Linked DNA regions of Oryctolagus cuniculus. The protein of the gene in region 5 binds, or shares a complex with, the protein of the main gene of each other region. Links are inferred from orthologs where the notes say so. Each region holds a gene or a part of one and is shown on either strand. Other genes may lie near its edges.

What was found.
Region 1: the proteins of TAF4 (region 5) and TAF12 are in contact, whole or in part, in a crystal structure (PDB 1H3O), measured with the Homo sapiens proteins. The link is inferred for Oryctolagus cuniculus from reciprocal best matches to the Homo sapiens genes TAF4 and TAF12. Residues at the interface, in NP_003176.2 of Homo sapiens: Phe872, Leu873, Leu874, Pro877, Leu878, Arg880, Arg881, Ile882, Ile885, Gly886, His889, Gly890, Ile891, Thr892, Glu893, Leu894, His895, Asp897, Val898, Tyr901, Val902, His904, Ala905, Thr906, Gln907, Gln908, Arg909, Leu910, Gln911, Leu913; in NP_001128690.1 of Homo sapiens: Val57, Leu58, Thr59, Lys62, Leu63, Leu66, Val67, Glu69, Val70, Glu74, Met83, Leu84, Ile87, Ala88, Asp89, Phe91, Ile92, Glu93, Val96, Thr97, Cys100, Ala103, Arg104, Ser108, Ser109, Thr110, Leu111, Glu112, Val113, Lys114.
Region 2: TAF4 (region 5) and TAF7 share a complex: the UniProt entries of both Homo sapiens proteins name them as parts of the TFIID basal transcription factor complex. The link is inferred for Oryctolagus cuniculus from reciprocal best matches to the Homo sapiens genes TAF4 and TAF7.
Region 3: TAF4 (region 5) and TAF3 share a complex: the UniProt entries of both Homo sapiens proteins name them as parts of the TFIID basal transcription factor complex. The link is inferred for Oryctolagus cuniculus from reciprocal best matches to the Homo sapiens genes TAF4 and TAF3.
Region 4: TAF4 (region 5) and TADA2B share a complex: the UniProt entries of both Homo sapiens proteins name them as parts of the TFTC-HAT complex. The link is inferred for Oryctolagus cuniculus from reciprocal best matches to the Homo sapiens genes TAF4 and TADA2B.
Region 6: TAF4 (region 5) and TAF11 share a complex: the UniProt entries of both Homo sapiens proteins name them as parts of the TFIID basal transcription factor complex. The link is inferred for Oryctolagus cuniculus from reciprocal best matches to the Homo sapiens genes TAF4 and TAF11.
Region 7: TAF4 (region 5) and TAF13 share a complex: the UniProt entries of both Homo sapiens proteins name them as parts of the TFIID basal transcription factor complex. The link is inferred for Oryctolagus cuniculus from reciprocal best matches to the Homo sapiens genes TAF4 and TAF13.

The regions. Positions count from the first base shown.
Region 1 is NC_091438.1:143,057,361-143,061,393, forward strand, and holds the start of TAF12 (transcription initiation factor TFIID subunit 12), read left to right. Parts: upstream 1-1,233; 5' UTR 1,234-1,380; intron 1,381-3,742; exon of another isoform or gene 3,743-3,844; intron 3,845-4,033. UniProt on the Homo sapiens protein: The TFIID basal transcription factor complex plays a major role in the initiation of RNA polymerase II (Pol II)-dependent transcription.
Region 2 is NC_091437.1:28,859,471-28,862,776, reverse strand, and holds TAF7 (transcription initiation factor TFIID subunit 7), read left to right. Parts: upstream 1-1,283; coding exon 1,284-2,333; 3' UTR 2,334-2,806; downstream 2,807-3,306. UniProt on the Homo sapiens protein: The TFIID basal transcription factor complex plays a major role in the initiation of RNA polymerase II (Pol II)-dependent transcription.
Region 3 is NC_091444.1:75,261,815-75,265,314, forward strand, and holds part of TAF3 (transcription initiation factor TFIID subunit 3), read right to left. Parts: intron 722-3,500; coding exon 472-721; intron 1-471. UniProt on the Homo sapiens protein: The TFIID basal transcription factor complex plays a major role in the initiation of RNA polymerase II (Pol II)-dependent transcription.
Region 4 is NC_091433.1:3,121,707-3,126,006, reverse strand, and holds the start of TADA2B (transcriptional adapter 2-beta), read left to right. Parts: upstream 1-1,500; 5' UTR 1,501-1,734; coding exon 1,735-2,004; intron 2,005-4,300. Other genes in the region: CFAP184 (cilia- and flagella-associated protein 184), read right to left, coding at 1-1,106. UniProt on the Homo sapiens protein: Coactivates PAX5-dependent transcription together with either SMARCA4 or GCN5L2.
Region 5 is NC_091442.1:1,313,606-1,317,105, forward strand, and holds part of TAF4 (transcription initiation factor TFIID subunit 4), read left to right. Parts: intron 1-1,014; coding exon 1,015-1,162; intron 1,163-1,422; coding exon 1,423-1,537; intron 1,538-3,500. UniProt on the Homo sapiens protein: The TFIID basal transcription factor complex plays a major role in the initiation of RNA polymerase II (Pol II)-dependent transcription.
Region 6 is NC_091436.1:134,556,532-134,559,080, forward strand, and holds the end of TAF11 (transcription initiation factor TFIID subunit 11), read left to right. Parts: intron 1-216; coding exon 217-304; intron 305-650; coding exon 651-747; intron 748-1,394; coding exon 1,395-1,525; 3' UTR 1,526-2,049; downstream 2,050-2,549. UniProt on the Homo sapiens protein: The TFIID basal transcription factor complex plays a major role in the initiation of RNA polymerase II (Pol II)-dependent transcription.
Region 7 is NC_091438.1:61,355,567-61,359,697, reverse strand, and holds the start of TAF13 (transcription initiation factor TFIID subunit 13), read right to left. Parts: upstream 2,801-4,131; 5' UTR 2,701-2,800; coding exon 2,674-2,700; intron 1,824-2,673; coding exon 1,745-1,823; intron 1-1,744. UniProt on the Homo sapiens protein: The TFIID basal transcription factor complex plays a major role in the initiation of RNA polymerase II (Pol II)-dependent transcription.

The DNA.
Region 1 (4,033 bases), on a different chromosome or scaffold from region 5:
AACAAACTTAAGATTTCATTTGAAAAGCAGAGTTAGAGAAGGAGAGAGAGGGATCTTTCATCCGCTGCTTCACCCCCACATGGCTGCAGCAGCGGGGCTGGGCCAGGCCAAAGCCAGGAGCCTGGAACTCCATCTGGCATTTGGCTCTCCCATGCGGGTGCAGGGCCCCAAGGAGAGCAGCATCTTTTGCTGCTTTCTCAGGCACACTAGTAGGGATCTGGATTATTAGTGGAGCAGCTGGGACTAGAACCAGCGCCACGGGCGGCTTAACCTGTTGAGCCACGTCAGCCTCATTTGCTGAATGAACATACATTCAAACTGGGCCTTGAAAAGATGTACAGTTCAACAACAAAAACTGATATGCCAGACCCTAAAAAGAATGAATGTAGCAGACAGGGAAACAACGCGAGGCAGACAGCCGAAAGCCTAATGTGACGAAGCTCTTACTGTAAACCCAGCGGCAGTGTAGTGGGATGAGGGTGGGAGACAGGAAGACAAAGAGGGCAGGTTGCTGCACCGGTCTTGGCAGCCCTTCCTGCCACAGCCCTGTGTGTGTGTATGCACGCGCACGCACGCGTCTTACTCTGAACCCACGGATGCCGGAACCAGGTCTTGCTTACAAACTTACAACTAGCAAAAATACAGCAGTTCTCATAAAGTATTTGGCAGAGGAAAGAACTGAAGGCATCCAAGCTTGAGGGAGTTCTGAGTTCAAGTTAAGGCTCTGACCTTATCAGCCAGACCCCGGCTTAATCTCTCACGGGCTCCCTCTAGATAATTAAATGACATATGGGAGGTAGGGGCTTAGCACTGTTTGCTAGCGGAAAATAAGCGCTTCACTGCAAATTCACAGGCAGAACCGGTCTGTCGTCTCCAGGTTACTGTGTTGCCAACTCCTCGGCAAGAGTCCAAAAAAATACACACAGCATGCTGCAGTCCCAGGTGACACCCCCGTCCTGATGCCACGACAAAGGCATTAACCAAAAATGGCGACCTCACAGCCATCCAAGGGCATCAGTTATCGATGATGCTACCGGGTGATACAAACAGTGTCTGGAAGCAACACCTAGGGCAGGGTTCGAAACGCCAGGGCAGAAGACACAGCGTTCGCCCACGCTGCCAGACAACCGCACGCGGGAAAAACGGCGGCCACCGAAGCTGAGCTCCAGCCCTGCACCGCGACCGCATGTCGGAGGACGGTGTGCGCCTGCGCAAGCCAGGCGCGCGCCCGCCGGCCGGAAGAGCCGCGCGTTTCCGGGTTGGAGGCGGGGAGCGGTGCCGGAAGTACTCGGGGAGGGCCGCGCAGTCGGACCGGCTGCTGAGACGAACGCTTCACTGGGGCAGTCTCCGCATATCATGGGGAGATAGACGCTGCTGCCTGTGAGTGTTGGGCCCTGGCAGTAGAGGAAGAAGAGCGGGAGGAGGGAGTCAGGACCCAGACCCACAGTGGGTCACTGTTTGAAGGACCAGGCTGTGGAGGAGACGGGGCTGTGAGGAATCCGGCTCCTGGGACGGGACTAAGGGGATCGCGCTCGGAGGAGACGCGGCTGTGAGGGTCCGGGCTGCCGACGGGACTTAGGAGACGGGGACGGATGCGAGTTCCCTGGCACCTAAGGGAGAGAGGTTTGAGAGGGACAGGGTTGTGAGGACCCGCGCTCCTGAGAGGAGAAAGGGTCGGAACGGAGTGGCGCGTGAAGACACGGGCTCCGGCGAGGTGAAAGTGGAGTAGTGAGGACTCGGGCTCCTAGGAGGCAGGAGCGGGACCGTGAAGACCCGGGGTGGGCTGCGAAGACTTAGCTTCCTGAGGGGCCGAAGCTGGCGGAGAAGACTTGGGGCTTCTGTGGGCACGCGATCCGGGCTTTGAGACTCCAAGTTTCGGAAGGAACGGGGCTGTGAGGATCCGAGTTCCTTAAAAGCGGAGAATCGAAGCGGCTGTGGGTGTAAGCGATCAGCCTTCAAGGGAAAGAGAGAGGACTGGGGAAAGAGAGTGATCCGTTTGCAAGTAGTCTCTGACCCAGAGTGCTAAAGGATACAGGGATGGATATATGTATTCTGTATACATTTCTATTTTCAGGGGAGGAGGAGTCCTCCTTCGCGCTGCCTGCTTGGCTTTTGGCAGGCTTGTGTGTGTCAGATACTTAATCTTGGAAGCCCACATAGAAGCATCTTCATTTTCTGCTTCATTCTTGCGAATCGGATGTGAAGTTGAAAACACTTTGAACCCAGTTGTATACTTGATAAGTGCTTTAAATTTCTTTCCACTAAACCCTGACGGAGCACAGAGCTCTGTATCTCAAATAAAAGAATATCAGAGATGGAAGAGCCCCAAAAGACCATCTCTTTCCAACGCCTAGTTTACATTTAAGGGACCCGAAGTCCAAAGAGGGATTAGAGTCACAGTGAGACAGTGGTTACTTAGAGCATAATTTTGATCAAGTATCCTGTGGACGGTAAATAGGAGACGCTTGGTTAATGTTCCTTGGAAAGTGCTTCTAGAATCTTTGTTCTCTCTTCAGACTCAGGAGGAAGATTCTGATAGATTCTAATGCTTTATTTTGAGTCTTAGTGTGTTGACATTGAAACAGTGAATGTCACCAGTAAGAAAACTTTTAAATGAAACCTAATGTTATTTATTTATTTTAAAATAAGCTATCTAGAAAATTGTGCCCTACATTTATAGCAAAAATATTTACTAGGAATGGCTGTGTTTGTTTATTTTAAAGATTTATTTATTTGAAAGAGTTACAGAAAGGGAGAGAGAGAGAGAGAGAGATCTTCCATCTACTGGTTCACTCCCCAAATGGCCATAACTGCCAAGGCCGGACCCGGCAGAAGCCAGGAGCCCAGAGCTCCCTCTGGATTTCCCAAATGAGTGGCAGAGGCCCAAGCACTTTGGCCATCTTCTCCTGTTTTCCTAGGCGCATTAGCAGGGAGCTGGATTGGCAGTGGAGCAGCTGGGACTTGAACCAGCATTCATAATGGATGTTGGCTTTGCAGGTGACAAGTTAACCCACTGCACCACAAGGGATGGCTGTTTTTAAATAAGGATGGTGTGGAGACTTGACCAGTTACTTCTCCTTTTTAATAATAGTATTTTTTTTTCTTTTACTGAAACCTACTCAGACTAACCAGGTACCATTTAAGCACTTTTCACCTACTGTGTCACTTAATTATTACAGCCCCACAAATTAGATATTGTTAGTCCCATTGTACAGATAAAGAACTAGGTTCAGAGAGGTTAAGCATTTTGCCTGAAATTGAATAGGACTGAATGAGCCAGCCCCAATTCTGTGTGTCTCTACAGCTTCTACTTTTCTAAATGGATTCTTCATGTCTTGATTTGCCCATCAACAAAACAGAAGTAATAGTGATACAAGCATATTATTGAATGAAAGCACTTTCCTTAAAAAAAAAAAAAAAAACTTATTCATTTATAAGCCAGAGTGACAGAAAGAGATCTTCCGTCTGCTAGTTCACTCCCCAAATAGCTGCAGTGGCCAGTGCTGGGCCAGGCAGAAGCCAGGAGCCAGTAACTCCATCCCAGTCTCCCATATGGGAGACAGAGGCCTATCTTCCTCTGTTTGTCAGGTGCATTAGCAGGGAGCTGGATCAGAAATGGATAGACCAGAGCTCAAACTTGCACTCTGCTATGGGATTTCTGCATTGTAAGTGTGACTTAACTCATTATGCCACAAACTCCAACACCTTCCTTCTAAATTTTGTTAATATCAAGGACTATATTGTGCTCGCTCTGGCAGCACATATACTAAAATTGGAATGATAGAGATTAGCATGGCCCCTGTGCAAGGATGACACACAAATTCATGAAGCATTCCATATTTTTAAAAATATTAACATAAAAAAAGGACTATAACTGATTTGGGTACATATGTAGTATAATATTCAAGGAGAACTAAAATGTGTTTTCACAGAAGCATAGATATTCAAGATAGAAAAAACTTATTCCTGAGTTAACATTCTCATCTGCATATTTAAAATGTTCTCTTTCACTTCATTTGTGGTCCAGCATTGG
Region 2 (3,306 bases), on a different chromosome or scaffold from region 5:
TGGCCCCCTGGAGAGCTCCCAAGCAGAAATAAACCCAGAAGCACGGTCCCCCTCCGGGCACTTTCATAATTAAAATACACACAGAACCACACAGTGGACAGCATGCTCTCCTTACGCCATTGATTTGGGAACTTTTAAATCCACTTTGTGGTTAGTTACAAATTCCTGCACCGACACCAGAATGGGTAACTCCTGGGGAACACGCGAGACGTTTCCCGAAGCAAAACGCTTTCTGCAAACATGCCCTGACCCCCGAAGTCTAGACGCTATCTCGGCGCTTGCCGGTCCGGTACAAATGCTGTCTCAGCAGGGGGAGGCTCTGTGACCTTCCTGCAATCGTTATCTCTTATTTTCAAACTAGGTCGGCAGGAAACTTCATTTTCACGCCCTAAAACAATTCCCCTGGATCCAGAGAACGAGTCCCGGCCGGAATCGCAGCGCCGCGACTGCGTCTGCGCGCGCTCGGGGCGGGCCGTCTTTCCGCCCGGCCGTGCTGTCACTCACGGCCGCTTCCCGCCCCGCGCCGTGACGCAGCGCGGCTTTAAAGCCAGCTCTGCAAGCGGCTGCAGGCAGACGCCTGCGGAGCCTCCGGTGTGTGGCTCTGCGCAGCGCGTCTCGGCGAAATTTCGCGCTTCCCGCCGGGACCGAAGCATTGGTAATCAGTAGCGGATCACTCAGCTGAGCAGCAGGAAGAACAAAGGAGTCGGCGAGAGAAGAGGCTCCCCGCCGCTTTGCAGCGAGTGGCTTCCTCCCCCCGCCGCCTGCGCCCGGCGCGAAGCTGAATTTATAACCGTCACTGGATTGTAAGTACCCGAGGCAAAGGCAGCTCGCTGCGTCCCGCTTTTTCAGTTATGCTTGTTTCGGGAGGGTTTGGGTCGGTGTTGACTGCTTGTCCTAATTTTGTGCCGTCTTCATTCTGCAGGAGCCGCCATTTGCTTTCCTGCTCGCTCGCTCGCCCGCTTGCTCTGTCTGCATTGTCTGGAGGCGGCACCTAGAGGCTGGAACTCGGCATTGCAGCTCCAGGCTTTAAATGGACTTAATTCTCTGAATAAGCCAGTGTGTCGGTAACAAACAGCGGGTGTGGAGTGCAGCATATTTAGAGAAAAGATTTGTGGCTTGATTAAAAATTAAGACAAAACAGATGCTTAGCTACTGTTCTGCATAGAACCTTCTGTTGTTAGATTTTAATTCATAAGGAACTGGTCTTTTAAATTGTTGCAGTAGCTGAAACTTTTCAGTGCAGCAAGTGTTTATTAGGAGAAGGGAGTCAGAAAGAAGTGAAGATGAGTAAGAGCAAAGATGATGCCCCTCATGAGCTGGAGAGCCAGTTTATCTTGCGCCTGCCTCCAGAATATGCTGCTACTGTGAGGAGGGCAGTGCAGTCGGGGCATGTCAACCTGAAAGACAGACTGACCATCGAGTTACACCCCGATGGGCGTCATGGAATTGTCAGAGTGGACCGGGTCCCTCTGGCCTCAAAACTGGTGGATCTGCCGTGTGTTATGGAAAGCTTGAAAACCATCGATAAAAAAACCTTTTACAAGACTGCTGATATCTGTCAGATGCTCGTGTCCACAGTTGATGGTGATCTTTATCCCCCTGTGGAGGAGCCAGTTGCTGCTGCTGACCCCAAAGCAAGCAAGAAAAAGGATAAGGACAAAGAGAAAAAGTTCGTCTGGAACCATGGAATTACTCTGCCTCTAAAGAATGTCAGAAAGAGAAGATTCCGGAAGACAGCAAAGAAAAAGTATATTGAGTCTCCAGACGTGGAGAAAGAAGTGAAGCGGTTGCTGAGTACAGATGCGGAAGCTGTCAGTACTCGCTGGGAGATAATTGCTGAAGATGAAACAAAAGAGACGGAGAATCAAGGCCTTGACATCTCTTCCCCAGGAATGTCTGGCCACAGGCAGGGCCAGGACTCCCTGGAGCACGATGAGCTTCGGGAGATATTCAATGACCTCAGCAGCAGCAGCGAGGATGAAGATGACACCCAGCACCAGGACGAAGAAGATATAAACATCATCGACACTGAGGAAGACCTGGAGAGACAGCTGCAGGACAAGCTGAATGAGTCAGATGAACAGCACCAAGAAAACGAAGGGACCAACCAGCTGGTTATGGGCATTCAGAAGCAGATTGACAACATGAAAGGCAAGCTCCAGGAGACCCAGGACAGGGCCAAGCGACAGGAGGATCTCATCATGAAGGTGGAAAACCTGGCTCTCAAGAACAGATTTCAGGCTGTGCTGGATGAGTTAAAACAAAAGGAAGACCGAGAAAAGGAGCAGCTCAGCTCTTTGCAGGAAGAGCTGGAGTCACTCCTAGAGAAGTAAGAAGAATTTTGATCATTTTGAACCTGATGGTTCCACACTAAGAAAATCTTCATCACTTTTTCTGGATTTTAAGATTTTGCAGTAGTTCCCGTTCCTTCTAATGCTAGAAGTTCTTTTTAAATTATCTTGTTTTCAAGAAGCACTTTGCTAGGTGTTCATTCTATAGAATTAGGATTGACTAGGCAGTAATGTAATTGTTAGGAAGTTGTAGGGTTAGTGGAATGAACAGCTGAACCCTAATATTCACAGCTGCATTGCAGGACTTTGCTGCTGTTTCCCCATTTCCCGGAAGCTGCTATTGCTGCCATGTGGTGCCTTCTGAGATAGGTAAGAACCTAGTGTAGAGGCAATGAAGTTGGTTTGCATATGTTTCCCTAACTATTTTCTCAGTTAAATCAAAGCAGTTTCACACATGTAGAGATGCAAATAATTTCATAAGGTTTCTAACATAAATAAAAGCGACTAATTTTCAACTTATGTGTCTTGATTTTTTCATTGGTAATAGGAGTCAGATAATCTTTTGAGGTGGTTTCTCGGTAGAGTTTAATGATTGGTCAGTTTGGTCCTGCTTTGCAGGTAAAGAAGCAGTTGTGGGTTAAAAAAAAAAAAAAAAAGGAACATAGCAGAAATTGGGAAATGTCATCTTTGCATTCTATTAAGGTTCTAATCCACCTGCTCCATCAGGAGGCTGGAAAACATGAGATACAGAGCCATTCTAAACTACTCTAGTATTTGTAGATGAAGGCCTGCTTTACCCTTTTTTTTTTTTTTTTTTTTTTGACAGGCAGAGTGGACAGTGAGAGAGAGAGAGAGAGAGAGAAAGGTCTTCCTTTGCCGTTGGTTCACCCTCCAATGGCCGCCGCTGCAGCCGGCGCACCGCGCTGATCCTGGCAGGAGCCAGGAGCCAGGTGCTTTTCCTGGTCTCCCATGGGGTGCAGGGCCCAAGCACCTGGGCCATCCTCCACTGCACTCC
Region 3 (3,500 bases), on a different chromosome or scaffold from region 5:
ATACTCAGAGGAAGCTCTGGTTCTAAAAGTTCATTTCCATGTAATATGCAGGCCCTGGTATATATTCTGGATCTTAGCCAACACAATGTTCTAATTAGTGCTGTGCCTCAGAATCACCAGCTGGCTCCTAAGATCTGCATACATTACAGAAATCATACTCTATGTCAATAATGTGATCAAGAAATTCAGGGTGAAATTTAAAGATCACTATTCATTTTTACACTTATACATTGAAATTGTTACATATAAATAACTCATATTACAAAACAAGAATGAATAAAGAAAAACAATGCTTTGTCATTTACAGAGACTGAACAAAATATTTTTCAGCCAACAGCTCAAAAACGCAATCATTTCAGAAGCATTGCTTTTGAAATTCAATAATGATACATATGACACTTCCTCTTTAAAACATTTTATGATAAAAATAAAAGTAGGCTCTCCTAAACTCTGAAAACAAAGCATACGCACCACGTAAGTGCTGACCGTCTCTGTCACCACGCTGCGCACGGGAGCTTTGGAGCTTCCTGCTCCGGACATGGCGGGGGCTGGAGAAGGCATCAGAGCTGGGCATGCAGTGGCCTGGGTGAGGAGTGGCAATGGCATGGGGGTGGGGTTCACGTGCACAGGTACAGGGGCTGGGGCTGGTGGTGGGGTTTTAGGTCTATTCAGAGAAGGAGTCGGCTTAGCCTCGGGGGTTGGAACAACTTTGCTGATGACACTGTTAACAAAACAGAGAAACAGAAAAGTCAAAATGGGCTAATCAGATCAAACCACATACTTGAAGACAATATCACCAAATAACTTTCTTCTAGTAGTAAAACACCCCTTTAGGAGCCCAGAGATAGCTAACAAACTCACCAGTTCAAGGTTCTTCATCAACTAACTTCTCAATTTAGAGTTTTTAATTTTCCAAAATTGCCCCCAATGTCTACATACTTAAGACTTTTTAGCAACCGGTACACCCGGCTTGTTCATTGAAATGTAACAGCGGGCCGCTTCCTGCAGAGGATAGCATGTGCCTCTCTGTCGCCTTTCAGCTCCGGAATGCGGCTTCTGTGGCTGATGAAAGGTGAGCGAGGTGTGCCACTTCTCAGAAGCAGCTTGGGGAACCATCCCGAAAGCAAGCTTTCCCCTCCCTCTGCTCCACGTCCTTTAATGACCCACATGGAAAAGACTGCTCTTTCCACTCAAATTCCAGGATGAAAAAGATGCGGAATGGAGCCAGGGCCCATGCAGCGCAGCGCGGGAGGGAGACATAAACATTGGTTGTGGGAGGTGGCAAGCTTTCTGAGTTGTTAATTACCACAATGCAAGCCAGTCTAAACTGGTGGACATTGTGGCTGAAAACAGAGGTTAACATTTATCTCTTAATTCCAATGAATGAATACCCTCAATGTCATTGAAGACATTTTCAGTTCTGGTTTTGTCTGATGGCCGGTATTGAAGATGTTAAGATCCTCAGAAGGGCTGCGGAGACACGGTGAGTGGCAGGAGGGAGGGATGGTTTCCTCAGAGTACAACAGCCGCTGTAGCTCCTTTCCAGTCATGCTACCAACTAATAACTAGAGCTACATGACGGTGATCCTCTTCATTAACAATATCTTCTTCATGTAACTCCTATGAAGTGGAAGGAGTACTGGACTCAGACTTAGGCTACGTGAGTTGAATGCAAATCCTGCAACTGCCACAGATTTGCTAATTGTGACAGATTCTGGGTAAGTCATTAGAAAACCTACTACAGTCACGTGCTGTGACATTTCAACTGTCAACTGCATAGATGATGGTGGCCCCAGAGAATGCCACCTAGTGATGTTGTAGCTGCCACAGTTGACAGCAAAAACCACTCAACAATATGTTTCCTTGAATGTATCCCCATGGTTAAGAGGTGAGGCATTACACTCGGCCCTTGACATGATCATCTTATCCAGTCCTCTCAAGAACTTCAAAGATGTTATGATTACCTAATTTTATAGATGAGGAAACTGAAGATCAGAGAAATAGAGGAATTTGAGGAAATGGGTGACAGGTTTTGAACTAAGGCCTAATTCCAATGTTCTTTCTTTCTTTCTTTTTTTTTTTTTTTGACAGGCAGAGTGGACAGTGAGAGAGAGAGACAGAGAGAAAGGTCTTCCTTTTGCCGTTGATTCACCCTCCAGTGGCTGCCACGGCCAGTGTGCTGCGGCCTGTGCACTGCGCTGATCCGAAGGCAGGAGCCAGGTGCTTCTCCTGGTCTCCCATGCGGGTGCAGAGCCCAAGCACTTGGGCCATCCTCCACTGCACTCCCGGGCCACAGCAGAGAGCTGGACTGGAAGAGGAGCAACCGGGACTGAATCTGGTGCCCCGACCGGGACTAGAACCCGATGTGCTGGCACCACAGGCGGAGGATTAGCCTATTGAGCTGTGGCACCGGCCTCCAATGTTCTTCTTTAAAAAAAGTTTCTTTATTAAAAAACTATGCATCATTGGGGCCGGTGCTATGGTATAGCAGATTAAGCCTCTCTGCCTGTGGTGCCAGCAATCCCATATGGGCTGTTCTACTTCCGATCCAGCTTTCTGCTAATGGCCTGGGAAAGCAGTGAAGGATGGCCCACCCACTTGGGCCCCTGCACCCATGTGGGAGACCCAGAAGCTCCTGGCTCCTGGCTTTGGATAGGCCAGCTCTGGCTGTTGCGACCATCTGGGGAGTGAACCAGGGGGTGAAGACCTCTCTGTAACTCTGCCTCTCAAATAATATTAAAAAAAACTATGTATCATTTCAAGCATAGAGAAAACGATATAACACACACTGAGGTATAGAGATAAACAATGATAGTCTTTTGTCATGCTGCTTAAGATGAATCTCTCTCTCACACCCCTGCTCCAGAAGCAACCACTGTCTTAAAATTAGCAGGTATGTTTTTGTAGTTTTGTTTTTTGCAGATGTCCATAAACATTAAATATGTTGTTATTATTTGATGTGCTTTAGCTTCTATATAAATATCACACTTTATTTATCCTTTGCAACTAGCTTTTCCCACTCAGTTTTATGTCTTGATTCACCCATGCTGACACATACAGATCTATATTATTTAATTGCTATATAGTATTCCAGGGTAAGAGTAAGTATATCCTTTTTTGTCCACGCAACTGAAGGTAGGACACAATCACTTGTAAATGTTGCATATTAATATGTAAAACATATTCAAGAATTTCCCTAAGCTCCATTCCCAGAAATAAAGTTGCAGGGCCATAGAATATGACCATCCTCATCTTCACTAAATGACTGAAACAGCCTCTTGCTTTTTACTATTCCACATTTATCTTCCTTGGCCTTGTTCCCTGACCAGCAAGGTGGACACACACACAGCTGCCTCACGGGGTTCAGTGGGAACTTCCATATGGAGAGCCACTTGAAACCATGAGCAGGCTTCAGGTGTTTGCTCCGGCATCACATGCATGCCTGTGGGTCCTGACAAGCCCTGCTGCCAGCCTGCATAGTTCCACAATCTCAAAATTCT
Region 4 (4,300 bases), on a different chromosome or scaffold from region 5:
GTCTCGAAGTGCGCCAGGCTCTGCCGCAGCTGCACGTTCTCCAGGCGCACGGCGCGCATCTCGCGCTCCTTCCTCTCCTCCAGCGCCTGCAGCTGCTCCACCTCGCGCACGGCCGCCTGGCGGCCGCCCCGCAGCCGCCCGCTGCCCATGGCCTGCAGCACCACCTGCCGCTTGAGCGCCTGGAAGCGGCGCCACTCGCGCTCCGCCCTGGCCAGCCTCTCGCCGGCCTGCCGCTGCAGCTGCGCCAGCTCCTGGTGGTACCACTCCAGGTCGTCGGCCTCCTGCTTCCGCAGCTCCTCCAGCACGGCCAGGTGCCGCACGTACGCCTGCTCCTTCTCGGGCGCCTCGGCCTCCGCGGCCCTGTCGGGCGCCTCGCCCGCCTCCAGCCCCTTCTTCCTGCGCAGCGCCTCGGCGATGCGGTGCTGCAGGTGCAGGTTGCAGCGCTGGTAGCGGCCGCGCTCGGCCAGCAGCGCGCGGTACTGCTCCAGGAGCTCGCTGCGCAGCTGGCGCTCCTGCTGCTGCTGCACCTCGGCCGACCACTCCAGGTCCTCGTAGTCGCCCGCCCGCTCCTGCGCCGCCGCCTCGGCCTGCGCGGTCGCCGCCTCGGCCGGCGGCCCGGGCGCAGCCTCGCTCGCCGTGGACGCCCGCAGGGAGGCGCGGGACGGGGCCCTCCTCTCCTCCCCCGCCGCCGCCGCCGCCGCCTCCTCTTCCTCCGCCGCCTCTGGCCGGGCCTCCGATGCCCGCTTGGCCGGCTCCTCAGCCCCGACCGTGGACAGCCTCCCCGGCTCCAGGGGCCCCTCCTCGCCCGCGGCCTCCGGGGCCTCCGGCCCTTCCGCGGCCTCGGCCTGCTCGTCCACGGGGGCGCCTCGCTCGGGGGCCTCTGCCGCCTCTTTCTCCTTCTCCTTGTCCTCCTCCTCCTCCTCTTCCTCCTTCTCCTCTTCACCCTCCCCCTCCTCCTCCGTCTCCGGCCTCGGCTCCTGCTCCGCAGGTTCACCCGGAGCCCGGGGGCCGGAGCTGGCCTCGATGTCGGATGGGCGCCAGGCCAGGCCTGCCTCGTCTCCGCTTTCCTCCATGGTGCTGACCCTGTGCTCCGTGTGGTCGTCCATCTCCGACCGGCTCGGCCAGGGCAGCGGACCTCGGCCGCAGGCTGTTAGGTTTCCCGGGGCAACCAAGGGCGCGCGCGGTGGGCCCGCCGATTGGCCCGCCAGCGGCTCGACGCCACGCCCCCTCAGCCCCGCCCCCTGAAAGCGCTGGCCAATAGCGAGCCGCGAGCGGGAGAGGCACGGAACCGATTGGGAGCGGGCGTAGGCCGGCGCCGCGAGGGGCGTGGCGCTCCGCCTCCCTCCCCGCCCGCCCCTCTCCCACCGCCAGGCCGGGGGCGGGGCGCCGCGCAGGCTCGGGGGCAGGCGGCGGCCGGCGCGCGCGGCGCGCAGGCGCAGAGCGGCGGGCCGGGTCCCCGCGCGGGGCGCCTGCGCGGTGCGGCGGGGCGACGGCTGTGGCGGCGGCGGCGGCGGCGGCGGCGGCGGCCGGGCCGGGCCGGGGCGCCTGCGAGCGGAGGCGGGCCGCGGCCCGGCGGGCCGGCGGCGGGGCGGCGCCTGGGCGGCGGCGGCCGCGGTGGCGGCGGCGGGCGGCGGCGGCTCGTGCGCGGCCGGGGCGGCGGGCCCCGCGGGCGGCCCGGCGCTGACGGCCGGCGGCGCGGCGGCGGCGGCGGCGGCGGGCGGCGAGCGGGCGAAGATGGCGGAGCTGGGCAAGAAGTACTGCGTGTACTGCCTGGCCGAGGTGAGCCCGCTGCGCTTCCGCTGCACCGAGTGCCAGGACATCGAGCTGTGCCCCGAGTGCTTCTCGGCCGGCGCCGAGATCGGCCACCACCGCCGCTACCACGGCTACCAGCTGGTGGACGGCGGGCGCTTCACGCTCTGGGGGCCGGAGGCCGAGGGCGGCTGGACCAGCCGCGAGGAGCAGCTGCTGCTGGACGCCATCGAGCAGTTCGGCTTCGGAAACTGGGTGAGCAGCCCCCGCCCGGGTCCCCGCGGGCCAGCGCGGGGCGGCCGCAGGTGCGTCCTGCGAGGGCGTGGGCCGGCCCGTGTGCTGCCCCGCCGGCTCCGGGCCTGGGCCCGCCGCCGGGCGCTCGGGAGGTGGAGCTGCACTGGACGCGCCCGGGCCGGCGGGGAGAGCCCGGGCCGGCTCCTCGGGGGTCTCCCGGCCCCCCGCCCCCACGCCCGAGCCGGGAAGGGGCACCCACCGCCCCGCGTCCCCCGCGTCCTGCGCCTCTCCGTGCGGTGAGCAGGGGCTGCCTGCGTCTCTGTGCGCAGCCCTGGGGTCTCCGGCTCCTCCGGCTGACGGTGGGCGCTGGGCCGGCCCTTCCCCCCGGAGCCCCGTCTCACTGCCCCGCGCCGGGCTCTGCTCTGTGCCGACGGCGAACGCCGGCCCTCGGCCCAGCCCGCCTTTCTTACAGCCTCGCCCGCGTGTCTCAGCGACACCGCCACTCGGGAGTCCACCCGTCACTCACGACACGCCCGTCAGGACTCCCACCCGTCTCGGGACTCCCACCTGTCACTCAGGACTCCCACCTGTCACTCACGACTGCACCTGTCACTCACGACTGCACCTGTCACTCAGGACTCCCACCTGTCACTCACGACTGCACCTGTCACTCACGACTGCACCCCTCACTCAGGACTCCCACCCGTCACTCAGGACTCCCACCTGTCACTCACGGCTCCACCTGTCACGGCTCCACCGGTCGCTCACAACACCCGTCGCTCAGCACCCCCACCGTGAACGGACACCCACCCCGGGCGCGCCTTTCCAGGACAGGTCCAGGCGCTAGCCTGCCGATGCCCCTGCTGACAGCCCGGCCCTGCCGCGCCCCTGGCGGGGTCCCCGACGGCCCGTGTCGCACACCGCCTGCGTTCGGCCTGCCCTTGCTGCGTGCCCGGTGCGCTGCCCGCCCGCCCGCACGCCCGCACGCGGGCGCTGGAGCTGTTGGCTGAGCTCCCCGTGGGCCTCGCGGGGCCTCAGCAGCCCTGGGCTGGGCCTTTGGACCAACCGGTCCGACACGGACAGGGCTGGGGAGGCGGAGCCTGCGTGCCGTGTGGCGCCTGGGGAGCCGTCCAGGTGAGGGCAGGGAGGGCCCTGGGGCGCGGCTGCCAGGGCCTGCGTGGTGCGGCGCCGGCCGGCCAGGCCGCGGGTGGTGCCGGCGCGGCTCTGGCCTCTGGCTGTGCTGCTGGGCGAGCTGCCTCACCCCTCTGGGCCTCCAGTCTGCGGCTGGAGCCGCGTGGTTCCGCCCGCGCGGGGGGCGGGGTCTCGCTGGGCCACAGCTCCGAGCCGGCGCCTGTCCAGGAGCCCGTGGCTTTTTTTTTTTTTTATTTTAAATTCTATTTCTCTTTGAACCTTTTCGTGATTTTTAATTCTATTTATCTTTGAACTATTTTTTGGTAATTTTTTATTATGTTTATCTTGGAACATTTTAAGGAAGATTTTGCTTTTATTTTTTGAAGGGCAGAGTTGGGTCCTCCGTCTGCTGGTTCACTCCCCAAGTGGCTGCAGTGGCCAGGCGGGGTCAGGCCGAAGCCGGGAGCTGCTTCCGGGTCTCCCGTCCTCGCCGCTTTCCCAGGCCACAGCAGGGAGCTGATGGGAAGTGGGGCCGCGGGACTGAACCAGGGCCCTGATGGAGTGCTGGCGTCGCAGGCGGCCGCTGTGCTCCGTGCACCGCAGTGCCGGCTCCGGTCCCGGGACTTCGTAGGTGCTGGAGCCGGGTGGCTGCGGGCTGTGGGGTTCCCGAGCCTGGGCCTGCCGCCCGGGCTCAGCACTCAGGACCCTCGAGGCTGGGGTGTGGCCAGATCCTGCGCTGGTTCCGTGGGAGCCCACGCACGGGACAAGGACAGGGCCGCGTCGGGGAGGTGGAGGGAGGAGCACGCCAGGCCAGAGGCCCCGACTTCAGCAGCAGGTCCTGGGTGAGGCTCAGCGGGAGTCGGGGGTCGCAGGCGGGGCGGGCTGAAGGCAGCCGAACCATCACAGGAGGGGCCGGGCCTCGAGGGGCCGTGGGAGTCGAGGTTTGAGTAGAATGGGACAAGCATGTGGCTTGTCTGGAATCTGGCCAGCCCGGCGCATTGCCCGTGCGCCCCGGCTCATCCTAGGAGGCAGGGGAGTCCCGAGGGAGGGCTTTCCCCGCGTGATGACAACGGCTGCCCCAGAGCTGGGGAGCCGGGGCCGTGCCGTCTCGGGGCCCTCTGTGCGCCGCCCTGCTGGACCTCGCCAGCGCCGGGTGGTGAGTGGGCGCGGGCGGGCCACAGGGAGG
Region 5 (3,500 bases):
TGTGGGCTCCTAGGCCCCACGAGAGGCCGCACCGTACGCGGGACCCAGTGCCCGCGGGCCTTGTCTCCCAGCTGAAAGTCTCCCAGGTTTCTGCTGTTGATGGAGAGTGAGGGGAGCAGGGTGGGGCACGTGGGGAGGAAGTGTGGGCCCCGGAGCGCTGAGGCCTCTGCACGGGGTGGTGGGGGGCGGCAGCTGGCGGCGCCTAACGCTGAGGGCAGCGCTGGCCGGAGCAGCCTGTGCGCGCGGCACGGAGGCGAGCGTGTCCACCAGCTGCTTGCTGGGAGTCGGGTTTCTCGCGAGGCTCTGACCCCGGCACCGGGGTGCGCGTCTGGGCCTCGCTGCCCGCTGCAAGTGCTGAGGGCCGTGCGCTGAGTGACGCACAGCCCTAGCGGCAGAGCAAAGCCCGGGCTGCCCGCGGCTCCTCTGCCAGCGCCCTGGTGCCAGGTGTCCCCGCCAGGCGCCTCGGTGAGACAGGCGGTTCTCTGAGACGCCAGGCTCCGTGGGTTGAGGTCGGGCTGTGTGGAGCTGAGCCGTGTGGTTTTCAGTGGGGGTCAGGGTCTCTGTCCTAGGGCAGGGTCCAGGACTCAAGGCAGTGGGCAGTGGAGCTCCTGGAAGGGCAGGGAAGACAGCTGGGGAGGGCTGGGGGGAACCGGCCATGTGGGCGCTTTAGGGCCACCTGAAGGCAGGACTCCTCCCGCTGCCCCGCAGGATGAGAGGAGGGGAAACAGCGCATGGCTGCCAGGCGACGATGGCCGGGAGCAGCCTCTGAGCTCATGTCACACCGTGTCCCCTCACGGCCCCCGGCCCAGCCTCAGGCGGGGAATGCGCCAGGCTCGCTGTGGTGCCCGCCGGGGGTGCCGCCCCGCCCTGGCCCCTCAGAGCTGCATGTGCAGGGTGCTCCTGCAGGTCTCGCCTGGGGCGGCGTGTGCACGTGAGGGGAAGGGCTCTCCTGGGGACCAGGACCCCACGGCCCCGGCAGCAGAGCGTTCACCGCCCTCCCCGGCTCTGCCTCAGGTGATCCAGCAGCCCCCGAAGCCAGGAGCCCTGATCCGGCCCCCGCAGGTGACGTTGACGCAGACGCCCATGGTCGCCCTGCGGCAGCCTCACAGCCGGATCATGCTGACCACGCCCCAGCAGATCCAGCTGAACCAGCTGCAGCCAGGTGAGGCCCGGGCAGGAGTCGAGCAGCGCCAGCTCCCGGAGGAGCGCGTGCGCCGGTGCCGGTGCCGGTGCCGCTCTCGGCGCCTTTACAGACGCTTTGCATTGGTCGCTGCTGGTTTGTCCTAGATGATTCTGCACCCACAGAGTCCAGGAGATGACCTTGTAACTGTAGCTCAGACTCAGCCAGAGCTCCCGCTGGGCGAGGAGCGTCTCCCGCTGGGCCGCGAGGGCCTCGCGTCATCGCCGTGTCTTGTCTCGTAGTCCCCGTGGTGAAACCCGCCGTGTTACCTGGAACCAAAGCTCTCTCTGCGGTCTCGGCCCAGGCAGCTGCTGCTCAGAAAAACAAGCTCAAGGAGTCTGGGGGAGGCTCCTTCCGGTAAGGACCGGGCCTGCCGCGTGGGCCAGGGGAGGAGCGGTGCAGGGCACCTGGCAGCTGGATTTGGGCCATGCCTGTGCCCCCGGTTAGCCTCGGGGGCTTGCTTTGTGCATGCCATGTGGCTGAGAATTGCCTTTTTTTTTTTTTTTTTTTAAGTTTGTTTATTTACTTGGAAGGCGGAGTGATAGAAGGAGAAATTCTGTGAATTCGATTCACTTCCCACGTGGCTGTGATGGTTGGGCTGGGCTGAAGCCAGGAGCCAGGAACACTCGAGGTCTTCCACGTTGGACGCAGGGCCCCAGGTCCTTGGGCCGTCACCTGCTGCTTTCTTAGGCACAGTAGCAGGGAGCTGGATTGGAAGCGGAGCAGCTGGACGTGGGATCCCACTGTCACAAGTGGTGGCTCCGTGCAGCACAAACGCACCCCCAGTGGCTTTTATTTCAAGATTGATTTTATTTGAAAGAGTTACACAGAGGAAGAGATGGAGAGAGAGAGAGCGTGAGAGAGGGAGAGAGAGAGAGAGAGAATACGCGCGTACTTTCATCTGCTGGTTCAGTCCCCAAGTGGCTACAGCAGTAGGGCTAGGCCAGGCTGAGCCAGGAGCTTCATCCGGGTCTTCTATGTGGGTTCAGGGGCCTAAGGACTTGTGCCGTCCTCTGCTGCTTTCCTAGCAGGGAGCGGTATCAGAAGTGGAGCAGCCCGGTGTCGAACTGGTGCCCACATGGGATGCCGACATCGTAGGCAGCGGCTTTACCTGGTATGCCACAGCGCGGGACCCCCAAGTGGCTTTTTTATATGAACTGGTAGAAAATTCACTTTCAGGGCCAGCGCTGTGGTGCAGCAGGTAAAGTCGCCACCTGCAGTGCCGGGATCCCATATGGGTGCTGGTTGCTCCACTTTGGATCCAGCTCTCTGCTGTGGCCTGGGAAAGCAGTGGAAGATGGCCCAAGTCCTTGGCCCCCTGCACTCACGTGGGAGACCTGGAGGAAGCTCCTGGCTCCTGGCTTTGGATTGGCCCAGCTCTGGCCATTGCGGCCAATTGCGGAGTGAACCAGCTGATGGAAGACCTCTCTCTTTCTCTCTCTGCCTCTCTCTGTATAACTCTGACTTTCAAATAAATAAATAAATCTAAAAAAAAAAAAAAAAAAAAAAAGATGGCCCAAGTCCTTGGCCCCTGCACCTGTGTGGGAGACCTGGAAGAAGCTCCTGGCTCCTGGCTTTGGATTGGCGCAGCTCCGGCTGTTGTGGCCATCTGGGGAGTGAACCAGCGGATGGAAGACCTCTCTCTCTCTCTCTCCTCTCTGCCTCTGCCTCTTTGTAACTTTGCCTTTCAAATAATCAGCCAATCTAAAAAAGAAAATAAATTTGTTTTCATACCTGGCAGTGTGGTGTTTGCAGTCGGAGAGGTGGGCTGCACCCTGGTGTCGGCGCCGGGGCGCACTGCTGCCTGCACAGCCGCGGGGTGGGGGGGATTCTGGGGCCTCGGCCGAGCGGTGGGTGTGCAGCCTCGTGCTTGCATGTTCTCCTGGGCCTTCCCCTCCCAGACACGTGCCCTACGCTTCCGGGCGGGGTAGGCCAGGGAGCCGGGTGGAGCCAGGCAGGGTGAGGGCAGCCTGGCTTGGGGGTTGGTGGCCGCGTGGGGGGATTAGGCTCCTGTGAAATCAGGAGGTGGAAGCTGCCGGGGGCCTTGGTTTCTTGCTGTCAAGGAAGGGGATCGGAAGTGGAGCAGAGAGACGTGGGGGCAGACTCGGGCAGGCTGACGGGAGGCGTGGATTCTGGCCTTCTGGATGAGAACTGCGCAGAACCGGCCCGGATCACGGCAGCGCTCACGTCTTGTCATCTGTTAGGGAGAGACAGATTGCGTGACGGGGCCGTGCTGCAGCGTCCGCGAGGGTGCGACAGCCAGGTCGGCCCCTGCCCGGCCACACCCGTGCTGGTCCCAGCGGCCAGGGGGTGACAGGTG
Region 6 (2,549 bases), on a different chromosome or scaffold from region 5:
ATGGAACAACATTGTTGTTCTTGTCCTAAATGACGAAAGTAAGTTTGTGATTCATGTTTTCTCAAGCAGAAATGTTTTTATCTCCATTCCTCAAGCACCAGGCCTGGGGCCATTGATTACCTGAGGGTCATTTGCTATCTCAGCCTTGCTTTTATTGACTTAACTATCTAGCACTTAATTTTATAAACCAACTTAATTACCCAAATCTTTGTCTAGAATCCTGGTTTCATCTTTTTCTGAGGAGCAGCTGAACCGTTACGAAATGTATCGCCGGTCAGCTTTCCCGAAGGCAGCCATTAAAAGGGTAAGGATGGACCACCACACTTCATTTCCATCTTAAATTGGAAGTGATCCAGACTCAAGAGCCGTGTCCACTTGCATGTTGAAATGACTTTTTAGGCAAGCTAGTATATTATCTAGGAAAACAAAAATAACATGAGCTCGATTATTTGATCAGTGCCACTTCTGTAAGCCAGTGACGGTATCTCAACATATAAAGTAAGTCATTGTACACCCGAGTCCTTGTTTTAATAGTCTTAGCCCGTAGCCATTAGTAAACACTTTTCCAGCGCAAAGCTCATTTGTTGGTGCTATGTGCTAATGTCAGTCTTTGACTGTCTTAATCACAGAATTTTTGTTCTTCTTTCAAGCTGATTCAGTCTATCACAGGCACCTCAGTGTCTCAGAATGTTGTTATTGCCATGTCTGGTATTTCCAAGGTCTTCGTCGGGGAGGTGGTAGAAGAAGGTAAGTGGTGCTGGGTACAAGTACTGTACCTGTAATGATCTTGTTTTCAAGAATCTCTCTGCTAAGGACTGTATTAAGCATCTGTGGGAATTTCCACTTGTACTAGAAGTTGACCAGGTATGTAGCCCTATAGTCAATAGAGCATTATTCCTGGAAAGTTTCCATACTCGGGGGTAAGAACTATCTAGGAAATCCCCCTCCCTGATTCCTGTCCTCAGCCCAGAGTAGTAGAAGCAGATTTTATATTTTTGTCTAGTGGACCTGCTCGTTGTTGCTGCCAAAATTAAAGATGGAGAGAAAGCAACCACCAGGGCTGACCAGCTGGGATGGTGGGGAGTTGTCACTGACGTTGTGCGCCTCTGGGGACTGCCCTGCCTGTCCAGTGAAAAGTCTAGCTGATTTCACCCAGCTGGTAAAATCTTTTTTAAGCAGTGAATATGTGTTAAACTGTTGCCTGGAATAAAGCCCTGTGTGGGACATTATACTAAAACTAACATGACACATTGTATAGCATTCTCTTTAGAAGGGAAGAGGCATGATTTATTTTGTTACAAGCTGGGAAGAGTTAACAAGAATTCCAGGATTCAAAAAGATTGTGTGACTAATAAGTCCTTGTGTGATAAAGAAACTCTCTTTGCCCTGTTTAGCACTGGACGTGTGTGAGAAGTGGGGAGAAATGCCACCACTACAACCCAAACATATGAGGGAGGCTGTTCGGAGGTTAAAATCAAAGGGGCAAATCCCCAATTCGAAGCACAAAAAAATCATCTTCTTCTAGACCAAAGCCTAGAAAGATCAGTTACCGACGGAAGACATCCTGGCTCCAGCCTTTCTGTTACTGAGACTTTCTGCACTGGTGCTTTCGTACCTCAGTCCTCCAAGGATTCCCTGACAATTTTAATGTCTTTCTCGCCACACCTACAAGGCATGCAGCCTGCTTCACACCTGCCATGACTAAATTCTGGGACGTCTTGAGCATTTTGAGGTGTTGAGATGTCTTTGGGCTAGCTGGAGAACAACAGCGCATGGCCTTACCAATCTTCTGGGCTGGAAAGCTGCCTTCTGCGAGAGAACATTCCCAAGAGAGCTTGGGCGGTTTCACATTGAAGCCTAAAGTTGCTGGGACTTAGGTTGTTTCTCACATCTGGTTTATGTAGATGAAACAACTGGAAACTTCTGACTTGTGACACTCTACCAGGAAGGACACGGTGATAGCAGTTAGTGGAGTGATTTGTGATTGTAAACACTTAAGATTTTTCTGTGGATTGTGGTGAGTGATCAGTAAACTCTTTTCCAACTTGCCATCTGTGTACTCATTTTCTTTATGGTTGATTTGAATAGAGAAGTTCAGCGTTCATTTTTGGCCCCCAAATGAAACTGCTCTTGGCTTTTTTGTGAAAATTTTAGTCCTTCCCACTTTCTACTATAACTGTTAAGAAGTCACAAAAGAGCATTCCAAACACTGCTCAAAACACTGTAAAAGCCCATATATTTCCAGATTCCAGTAAAGCAGATATATCACACCATTATTGTTTAATAAGTTTAATTTGCTTTTTTTCAGGTGGTTCACAGAACCAGTACACTCAGCTTGATTAGCTATTGCAACATTAAAATTTTCCAATACTGACCAGAATTCCAGTTCATTAGATACATTCTCATTGTTTTCCTCAAACAGAGGGGAATGGAGTGACCATTGATTGACCATCATTGACCATTTATTGACAGTGATTAGCAGATATAAGGCGACTGTATATAGTTGGCAAACCCCTGGAATTCATTCTTCTCTATCATTCAGTGTCACG
Region 7 (4,131 bases), on a different chromosome or scaffold from region 5:
GGCTGACATTCCACATCAGAGTGCTTGTTTGACTCCCATCTACTCTACTTCGAATCCAGCTTCCTGCTGCTGTGATTCTGGAAGGCAGCAGGTGATGGCTCAGGTACTGTGGCCACTGCCACCCATGTAAGAGACCCAAATGGCATTCTGGGCAACTGGCATCCGCCTGGCCTAGCCAAGCCTCAGCTGTTGTGGGCATGAGCGAACCATCAGATGGAAGATCTCTGTCTTTTTCTGTCACTCTGCCTTTCAAATAAATTTCAAATAAAAAAGACATACTGATGTGCAGTTTTAACATCACATGTAAACTGCTCGTATCTGTCCCAACCTTAATAAACAGGTATTCTTAAATCTGTGTTGTCTCATCTCTCAATACCCAGCTATATAGATATAAAGGAATCCGTACTGGGAGATAAAAAGCTATTCTCATGATGACTTTTAAATGTTGTCCTGGACTATCAGCAGTAGGAACAGATCTCCTTTCTTCATGCTGCTGTCTAAAAAGGGTAAAATCTGTCTACTGAGGGAGTGGGACAAAGCACTAACACATTATATTATCTTCATGCCATTGTATGTCTCACATTGTTCCTCACCTTCCTGCCCTGTTCACTGCCCTTAGTCCAAAGTCTCAACTTAGCCCCTACCCTCAGCACCTGTTTCAGTGCCCACAGTCAAAAGAACTCCTGCTTCTACTGTTGCAAAGGTAAGGGCCAGGAAAACGTGGAGGTATATTGTTTTGTCCTGAATTGAAACACTGATCATATTTGTTAGGAAACTGGTGCAGTTTTATCCATGGCGCTATCTACACCATGATTTACATCCTATGCCCCGGTTCTCACAGCCATTGCTGAAAGCCATGTAGCCACATGGCCCAACCACCAGTGTCAAGCTCCACCCCCATCCTAACGGGATTCGCTGCTCCTGTTTCCCTGCCCGCCCTCTGGCAAAGTTTAAAAGGGCCTGTTCCTGAACAGGCGGCACTCTTGGCTCTTCTCTCCTGTTCTCTTGGCTCCTCTCGTCTCTCTTCTCTCCTCACTAGCTCCTCTACTCTCCGTGTCTCTTTCTCTTATACTCTCCTCTCCCTTTTTCCCTTCATCACCTCACCCTTCCGGTCTGCTGGCTTTTCTCAATAAACCCTTTCCCTTACTCCGGAGTTTGGTGTGTTTTTGTGACAGCCTAACAGAAAGACATAACAATATTCCCTCACTTAAATTCTGTACAATTTAAAACACAATTATACGTTAAACTGGGGTTAGTATCTGTGATTCAAAAATTAAACTGAGGGGCTGGTGCTGTGGCGCAGCAGGTTAAAGCTCAGGCCTGAAGCGCTGGCATCCCATATGGGCACCGGTTCTAGTCCTGGCTGCTCCTCTTCCGATCCAGCTCTCTGCTATGGCCTGGGAAAGTAGTAGAAGATGGCACAAGTCCTTGGGCCCCTGCACCCGCATGGAAGAAGCTCCTGGCTCCTGGCTTCGGATCGGCACAGCTCCAGCCATTGCGGCCATCTGGGGAGTGAACCACAGGATGGAAGACCTACCTCTCTCTCTGACTCTGCCTCACTCTGTAACTCTTTCAAATAAAATAAAAATAAATCTTTTAAAAAAAGGCAAAAATTAAATTGAACTTTACTGGCAATTTTGAGAATATTATCCTTGCAAACATTTTCAGAATATAAATCTATTCCAAAGGACATGTCCAAAAGTTTGCATGATCTATAATAAAATCACTGTCAAATACTACTTACATTCTTTAGAAAAGAGTCTCTTTCTTTTACCCTGTCCACCTTCTGCACCTCCTCCAATTTCTTCATTTTCTTCCTCAAACTAGAAGTTAAAATGTATATATAGAAATGTCAAGTGATTGCATTGCATTTGATATTTTAATAACTTGCTTTCATTTTTAACACTAATATCAGGCCAAAACGCTTAAAAGCAAGCACTAAAAAATCATGATAACTTAGCACTAAAGAGCCCTTAGAGACTACCTAGTCAAAATTTCAATTCCCGCAAAAATGGTTTCTACACTGTCCACAACAATCCTGCCTAGACACGTAAGCCTTTTAACAGCCGCAAGTTCTTTTTGTTTAAAACCAACTAAGTTGGTCTACTGCTAGCCAGTGTTGCCATTCAAGGACCGATACTGAATCAAAGCCTACCTCCCTGCAGCAAAAAAGGAAAAATTTTAACTAAGCACCTGCTTATACAGTGCTAAAACCTTTCCTTATCTGTTTTAACCTTATTTTATATCAAGAACAACCGATGCTGAAAGTTAAATAACTTGTTCGGTGAGAATGGAGATTTTGAAATCCAGGCTTCTGATTTGTGGTCCGTTATTTCTCCAACACTTCACAATAAATATCCAATTCTGTTAGCAGCTAGATTGTTGGTTCATTTAACGAGCACCAACAAATACGAGTGATTAGCTCTGACGATCGTCTAGTTTCACAAAGTGTCTAGCAGATTCAGCCCGAATCCGAAGGGAAAGGGGCTACCTTCCCACTACTTCACGTCCTGCCCCGGAGTACTAAAACCATGAAGCTGAAGGAAAAGACAAGCACAACTGGTCCCCGAACTCTCTCGACTGAATTCACTAAGGAAAACACCCCATTCTGAACTCTGCTTCCGTCACTAAGCCTGAGCGAAAGGGAGGATTGGGACAAAGGCGGTCACTCACGGTGGGATCTTCTTCCTCATCTGCCATTACACTAGCCCGACAACCTACTGTGCCGCGCCGGCTCGCTCTCAGCGGGTTTTTACTACTTCCGTTGCGTCACTTCCGGTGACGTAGGGGGCGGGGCCGGGTCCCCGCAAACACGCCTGGGAGGGGGAGCTGCCTAGCGACCGCTGAGAGAGACGGTCTGTAGGGTAGCAGCGTGAGCTCTGGGTTCTGTAATCCCGAGGAAGGAACTAAAATTTAGCAAACTGAAAGAAATGCACCAGGCAGTGTGTATCCTCTTATCACCCTACATCTCCTTGTGCGTGTTGAATCCACCTTTCCTGACCTGGAGCGTAGGAGGGCGATCCCGCGGTCTTGCTCTGAGGGGTGTATTTTAAAGTGCAATGAGTTACGCCTGCACTATTGATCCCAAGCACTTTGTTAATTATTGTGGGGTACTATATTTCACTACTAGTTCTCAAGGGGGCGCTATCCTTAGAGACGATTTAAAATTTTCTGGAGAAGAATTTGGGTTTTAACAATGAGAACACGCAGTAAGAGGCTGGAGTTGACATAAAATATCCTGCAACCTAAGGGATGATGCCACACGATAAAAAAGTCCAATAATACACACGATTTCTCTATGTCCTGCTGAACATTCAATGACTGAAAATATTATTTTATATAAACTATTTTTCCCATGCTTTTAATGAACATTGGATTTCCTGTGACTGTTACTTCTTCAAAATTGGTGATCTGTTGCATTTTGCTTTGTTTGGAACTTATTAAGAGGAAATACTGCCACCAAAGGCAATATCGCTTGTAATTTAAATAGTGCTCACCTGGAATCTGCCTACATTTGTAGTTCCTACATTCGAGGTAAATTTACATCTAGGTACAAGCAACCACATTGTTATTATACCTCCTGTGTTGTCATGCCTGAGAATTTACGTGTTAAAAACATATTAATAGGCCGGCGCCGCGGCTCACTAGGCTAATCCTCCGCCTTGCGGCGCCGGCACACCGGGTTCTAGTCCCGGTCGGGGCGCCGGATTCTGTCCCGGTTGCCCCTCTTCCAGGCCAGCTCTCTGCTGTGGCCAGGGAGTGCAGTGGAGGATGGCCCAGGTGCTTGGGCCCTGCACCCCATGGGAGACCAGGAAAAGCACCTGGCTCCTGGCTCCTGCCATCGGACCGGTGCGGTGCGCCGGTCGCAGCGCGCCGGCCGCGGCGGCCATTGGAGGGTGAACCAACGGCAAAGGAAGACCTTTCTCTCTGTCTCTCTCTCTCACTGTCCACTCTGCCTGTCAAAAAAATAAATAAATAAAATAAAAAAAATAAAAAAAACATATTAATAGATTCTTTTATATTTATTTCTTATTTGGGCATTTTTTGATAAGTTCTCATTTTAGTTTCAGGATTTAACAATTTTCAGCATTTTGCCACATTGTATTTTTTAAAGATTTATTTATTTATTTG